Linked DNA regions of Canis lupus familiaris. The protein of the gene in region 1 purifies or fractionates together with the protein of each later gene. This does not show direct contact. Links are inferred from orthologs where the notes say so. Each region holds a gene or a part of one and is shown on either strand. Other genes may lie near its edges.

What was found. Proteins that work in one complex are often made in the same cells at the same time.
Region 2: the proteins of JUN (region 1) and cyclic AMP-dependent transcription factor ATF-7 purify together in Homo sapiens (affinity purification with mass spectrometry; 3 studies listed by BioGRID and IntAct, with this or other methods). This does not show direct contact. The link is inferred for Canis lupus familiaris from reciprocal best matches to the Homo sapiens genes JUN and ATF7.

The regions. Positions count from the first base shown.
Region 1 is NC_049226.1:51,325,776-51,328,932, reverse strand, and holds JUN (transcription factor AP-1), read right to left. Parts: upstream 1,954-3,157; 5' UTR 1,738-1,953; coding exon 712-1,737; 3' UTR 622-711; downstream 1-621. UniProt on the Homo sapiens protein: Transcription factor that recognizes and binds to the AP-1 consensus motif 5'-TGA[GC]TCA-3'.
Region 2 is NC_049248.1:44,957,697-44,961,347, forward strand, and holds part of cyclic AMP-dependent transcription factor ATF-7, read right to left. Parts: intron 2,333-3,651; coding exon 2,195-2,332; intron 1-2,194. UniProt on the Homo sapiens protein: Stress-responsive chromatin regulator that plays a role in various biological processes including innate immunological memory, adipocyte differentiation or telomerase regulation.

The DNA.
Region 1 (3,157 bases):
TTACAAACAACACTGGGCGGGACACCCAAACAAACAAACATGAAATAACTTACAAAGGCATGAAGCTGTTTATTGACAGTAATCAGCTTTCATCAAATTAAAAAATATATATATGTACATACACAGTTAAGGAAGGCAGGCCAGAAAAGAGTTCATCTGCAGGCTCAGCCTCGCTCTCACAAACCTCCCTCCCGCCTCCCCTCCCCCAACACCCCCCCTCCTCCCCTTTGTGTTCTTAAGGAGTACTACAGAAGCAATCTACAGTCGCTATTGCAGTTTGGAACCCTTCCCCCTCCCTCCCCCCCCCCCACCCCTTTAATACTGAATGAGATCGAATGTTAGGTCCATGCAGTTCTTGGTCAATGTTAAAGAAAAGTCTAACGTTCTGTTCGCGCGGGGACAGCCCGTCCGCAAAGCGGGGCAGCCCGCGGGCAGCCGCTCCCTGGCCCCGTGCCAGGGGAGGGCGCGCCAAGTCCTTCCCACTCGTGCACACTGGGGGCGCCGTCAGGACGCCGCCCAGTCCAACTTGGATACCCTTGGCTTTAGTCCTTGGACACTTCTTGTCTCTCTCGCTCTCTCTTGCAACTTGTCAAGTTCTCAAGTTCTCTCGCTCTCGCTCTCTGTGTGTGTGTGTGGTTTTTTTTTTTCTCCTCTCTCTCTCTCTCTCTCTCCTCTCTCTCGGTTGCCCCTCAAGCCCCCGACAGTCTGTCCTCAAAACGTTTGCAACTGCTGCGTTAGCATGAGCTGGCACCCACTGTTAACGTGATTCATGACTTTCTGTTTAAGCTGTGCCACCTGTTCCCTGAGCATGTTGGCCGTGGACGCCAGCTCCGAGTTCTGCGCTTTCAAGGTTTTCACTTTTTCCTCCAGCCGGGCGATCCTCTCCAGCTTCCTTTTCCGGCACTTGGAGGCAGCTATGCGGTTCCTCATGCGCTTCCTCTCGGCCTTGATCCTCTCTTGCGACTCCATGTCGATGGGGGACAGGGGCGGCGTCTCCCCGGGCATCTCGGGCACCGTCTGCGGCTCCTCCTTCAGGGCCTGCAGGCGCGGGTGCTGCACGGGGAGCTGCTGGGGCAGGTGGTGCGGCGCTTGCGGGGGCTGCTGCGGCTGCTGCGGCTGCTGCTGCTGCTGGGGCTGCGCGGGAAAGGCCAGGCCGGCCGCGCCGTAGGAGGGCGCCCCGCCGCCGCTGCTCAGCGCGCCCGGGTTGAAGTTGCTGAGGTTGGCGTAGACCGGCGGCTCGCTGTGCAGGCCCGCGCTGAAGCCGCCGCCGCCGCCGCCGCCGCCCGCCGCGGAGGCCACCGCCGGGGCCACCATGCCCGCGCCGCTGACCGGCTGCGCCGCCGACGTGACGCTGGGCAGCGTGTTCTGGCTGTGCAGCTCGGCCAGGGCGCGCACGAAGCCCTCGGCGAAGCCCTCCTGCTCGTCCGTCACGTTCTTGGGGCACAGGAACTGCGTGGGGGTCGGCGTGGTGGTGATGTGCCCGTTGCTGGACTGGATGATCAGGCGCTCCAGCTCGGGCGAGGCCAGCTTGAGCAGCCCCACGTCGGGCGAGGTGAGCAGGTCCGAGTTCTTGGCCCGGAGGTGCGGCTTCAGGCTGCCCACCGGGTCGGCCAGGTTCAGGGTCATGCTCTGCTTCAGGATCTTGGGGTTACTGTAGCCGTAGGCGCCGCTCTCGGACTGCAGGAACGAGGCGTTGAGGGCATCGTCGTAGAAGGTCGTTTCCATCTTTGCAGTCATAGAACAGTCCGTCACTTCGCGCGGGGTTACTTTGGGCTGCGCGCAGAAGTTTCGGGGCCGCAACAGCGCGCTGGCGAGCGGGGGACCCCCGCGCCTCCCGGGTGGGGGGGGCGGCCCTGGGCTAGAGGAAAGTTTCTGGAGGGGCGCGCGCTCCCGCCGGCGGTCCTCCCCCCGCGCCCCGCTCACCGGCTCCGGCCGCCGCCGCGCTCCTCCTGGGTCAGCTGGCGCGCGCGCTGCCCGCCTCGGGGAAAAGTCGCGGTCACCCACGGGGCGCGCTCGGGGCGCTCTCGGGGCGCGGCGGCTCCCGGGGGCCCGCGGGCCCGCCCCCGCGGCGACAGGGGGAGGGGGCGCCGGGCAGCCGCGGCTCGCGCTCGCCCAAGTTCAGCCACCGGGGCGAGGGGCGCCGAGCGCACGTCCCTCCGCGGTCTCCTCGCTCCGCCGCCGCCTCTCTCGTCCCGGCCGCCGCCGCCGCCGCCGCCGCCGCCGCCGCAGCCGCCGCAGCCTCAGGCGCGGCAGAGCTTTGCAAAAGTTCGCTCCGGGACCCGGGCCACTCGTCCCCTGTGCTCCCGGCCAGGAAAGTTCTGAGCCGCCGCAGCCACTCTCTGCACTTGCGCGGACGGACCTGTCGCCGCTCTCCGCGCTGTCACGGCTCCCGGGCGGCGGGGCTCTCCTCCCGGGGGCGGCTGGAGAAGGGGGTTCTCCGGGCGCTCCCCGAAACACCAGCCCGGGAGCCACAGGCGCTAGCTCCGGCCAGTCGGCGAGGAAAATGCAAAACGGAAAGCGGATTTTGCAGCCCGGACTCTCCGGCCGTCTCGCCTGCCCGCGGCCGCCCGCCTCCCCGAGTCCGCGCTCCTCCACTCCCACCTCGCCGCCTCGGCCACACTCAGTGCAACTCTGAGCCCTTATCCAGCCGGAGCTCAACACTTATCTGCTACCAGTCAACCCCTAAAAATAGCCCATGATGTCACCCCAAGGCCTTCCCATTGGCTCGCGTCGCTCTCCAGGGGGCGGGCCCGCCCGTCGCCATGGAGACCCCACCCTAGAAGATTCTTCTCCGGCCCCGCGGAGGCTCACGGGATGAGGTAATGCTCCGCTGCCCTCCTACAGTTGGGCCCTTCTTTCTCCTCCTCCCCCTCCCCCTCCCCCTCCCCCTCCCCCCTCCCCCTCCCGCGCGGCTCGCGCCCGGCTCTGCCCCCGTCTCCTCCGCCGCGCGTCTTTCCCGGCCCGCCCGGTGCATTGTGGGCTGACGTCTTGGGATTTGACTGTCGGGTGACGGCGGCTGCCGCGAGCCGGGCGGACGCGGGCGGACGCGGGCGGACGCGGGCTCCCGCGGCCCGGGCGGGCTCCAGTTCAGGGCGCTGGCGGGAAGGCGCGGGGACCCGGCCAGGTGCCCGGGGCCGAGGGCGCGCGGGGTGCGGGG
Region 2 (3,651 bases), on another chromosome or scaffold:
AGTGACATGGTGCCTAAAAAGGAAGTCATGACTGAGTACTCTACTGATTGAGCCAGCCAGGCACCCTCAGACAGATCCCTTTTATTTTATTTTTTTAATTTTTATTTATTTATGATAGTCACACAGAGAGAGAGAGAGGCAGAGACACAGGCAGAGGGAGAAAGCAGGCTCCATGCACCAGGAGCCCGACGTGGGATTCAATCCCGGGTCTCCAGGATCGCGCCCTGGGCCAAAGGCAGGTGCCAAACCGCTGTGCCACCCAGGGATCCCAGACAGATCCCTTTTAAAGAGACTATGAAGTTTGAATAATGGTCATGTTGTAATAAAACAAACTGCTTCCCACTGTTAACTTGCTTAGGATCTTAGTTGCTATCAGCCACCCTGGTCCTCACGTACCTCTAGACAACCTTTAGGACCTGGTCCTGATGAAAGTGGGAGAGAGGAGGGACAGCTGTAATGTTTATGGAGGAGGTGGTTTGGGGAAATTATCAAACTAAATTTAGAAGGAAGTAAAATGAGGTACAGATGCTCTATCCACAGTGGACACTAAAAATAATAACCCCAGGTAGAGCAGTAGAGACTGGAAAGAGGCATGAGGGGGCTTCTGAGGTTCTGAGAATATCTGGGTGCTGGTTACACAGGTTGTAAACTGTGAAAATTCAGTGAGCTATATACTCACAATTCACGCACTTTTATGTATGTATGCTATATTTCAGTACATTTATAAAAAAACACTACTTCATAAAAAGTTTCCTTTAAAAAAAATAATACTCAGAATCCTAGTGGATTTTCTCTTTGAGTCACTAGAAGACTTCCTTCTAAGGAGATTTTTTTTCCAAAATTATTTGATGTCCAATTTATGAATTACACAATTTTTTCCCCCACTTAATAACTGAAGTATAGGGGCACCTGTGTGGTGCAGTCAGTTGGGTGGCTGACTCTTGGTTTTGGCTCAGGTCATGATCTCAGGCTTGTGAGATCAAGCTCCACAGGCCCCAGGTGAGCCTGCTTGGGATTCTCTCTCTCCCTCTGCCCCTCCCCACTCCTGTCTCTCAAAACAAACAAACAAACAAACAAACAAACAAACAAACAAACAAAAACCCAAAACCAAAAAACCCCAAATAACTGAAGTACAACATACATAGAGTACATTATTCTAAAGGATACAACTAAATGACTTTATATATGTAAAGTCAAGACAGAGCCCATTTCCAGCACCCTAGAATGTTTTCCTATGTCCCTTCCCATTCCATACCTTCCCTTTTGAGTTCTATCATCATGAAATAGTTTTGCCTCTTCTTGAACCTGATGTAAACAGGTCCTGTGTATACTTTCATGTCTGAATTTTGTTATTGTTGTTCAATATAATGTTTGTGGGGTTCACCCACATTGCTGTATCATTAGTTCATTCTTTTTTAATGCCATGTGGTATTCCATTTTATTTTATTTACTTTTAGAGAGAGGGGGGTAGGAGGGGGCAAAGAGAGAGAGAGACTTCATCAGGCTCTATGACCAGTGCGACATGGGGTTTGATCTCATGACCCTGAGATCACAATCTGAGCCGAAACCAAGAGTCAGATGCTTAACTGACTGAGCCACCTAGGCACCCCTAGTATTCCATTTTAGAAATATACCACTATTTATTTATTTATTTATTTATTTATTTATTTATTTATTTATTTATTCATTCATTCATTCATTCATTCATTCTCTTGTTGATGAACAGTTTTTGACGAATACAGCTATTATGAGCATTTTAATATGCTTTGATACAGTGGACACATGCACTAATTTCACTTCCATGTAGACTCAGAAGTAGAACTGCTGGGTCAGAGAATAGATATAATTTATACAAATCTTCTAAATAATGAACATTATTTAAATATAATCAATCCTGTATCACACATTATGCAACTATTGAATCAAAACTTAATCTACCTACCAATTAACATTTGGGATAATTTTTTTTCTTTAGAATTTTATTTATTTGAGAGAGAAAGCACGTGCAAGCAAGCAGAAGGAGCTGAGGGAGAGAGAATCTGAAGCAGACTCCCCACTGAAAACAGAGCCCAATGTGGGAATTGATCCCAAGACCCTGAGATCATGACCTGAGTTGGACACCTAAAGTTGGACACTTAATCAGTGGAGCCATCTAGGCGCTTCTGGGATAATTAATTCTTAGTAGATAATTTACCTTTTCCTTGAGTGGCGGGGAGCAGGGACTAGAGGCAGGGCTATCAGGTGGGGATGAGTCTACCTCCACTGGCTCTTCTTCTTTGATTTTGATGTCTGGTGTAGAAGGCAAAGACATGTCAAGGGGCCCAGCAGCAGCCTGTTAAAAGAGAGAAATAAGCATAGTTCAACCCCACGAGTCCCTACAGGCTGAATCAAAATCTTTCCAGTTAAAATACGAGGAAATAGAAATATGCTTTCTCTCCCCCCCCCCCCCACCTTTTTTAAAGTAAGCTCCACACCCAACGTACGGCTTGAACTCACAATCCTGAGATCAAGAGTTGCATATTCTACTGACTGAGCCAGCCAAGTGCACTGAGGAAAAATACTTCAAAGTTCAGTCCTCAAAGAACTGAACTGCAAGTCAAAGAACTAGGGAACCTAGGTTTCATGTACAACTCTGGCCAGATCATTTTAACTTCTTTGAACTTGTTTTTATTTTCTAAAAAAGAATCTCAAAATCTTTTAGATTTTTCTAAAAAATTTTTTAAAGGTTTTATTTATTTGAGAAAGTGGGCAAGAACATGAGCAGGGGGAGGGGCAGAAGGAGAGAGAGAGAGACACAGACTCCCTCGTGAGCAGGGAGCCCGATGTGGGGCTTGATGCCAGAACCCAGGGATCATGACTTGAGCCGAACGTGGCTGCTTAACAGACTGAGCTACCCAGGCACCCCAGAACTTCTGTTTTTCTAACTGTAAAATGGAAATAATGCGTGCTTCACCACAGTGATACTTATAAAGATCCTAAAAGGAAAAAAAAAAAAAAAACACACACAACGCTTATAATGTTTATAAAGACGCTGAAAGACAGAAAAAAAAAAAGTCATTTAAATCCATGCAAATATTATACCATTTTTCAGGAAAGTAAAATGATTCCTGAATCCAGTGCTTGCCTATTTCCAACCAGCTCTGCTGGCCACTGGAGGGCTGTGAGCACTTTTTCTGACAACCAGAAGGACTATTACCCAAGTATCAAAAGCAAACAAAGATAAATTAGCTATTGAAGTACTATAAATAAGATAGGAAAGATCTATTCTGGGGAACTTCCCATGCTTGATGGTGATTTCATCCCAAAATCTGGTGTTAGAGGCTAGAAGTTAGGAAGCTAGAGTTTTGGGATAATAAAGAAAAGAAAGGCTAGTGATTTGATCAGTTAAAGAAATTAGAACTTGGTCCTCGAAGCAGGACTGGGGAACACCAGAAAGGAGAAAGAATACTTTCCTGGCAGTGGTGAATCACTTCACAGAACTGTGGAGCCATAAATGGCTTTGCAGGGAACCATAAACCATCTGAGATGACGGCCCTGACACCACACCACGACAGGAGGGCTGGCACTGCAGTTTAGTTTCATGACAAGGTAGATCCTTTGTTCTATTTTTTCCATATCTTAGGCTTCTTGGTGAAAGAGGAGCTTGTTTCT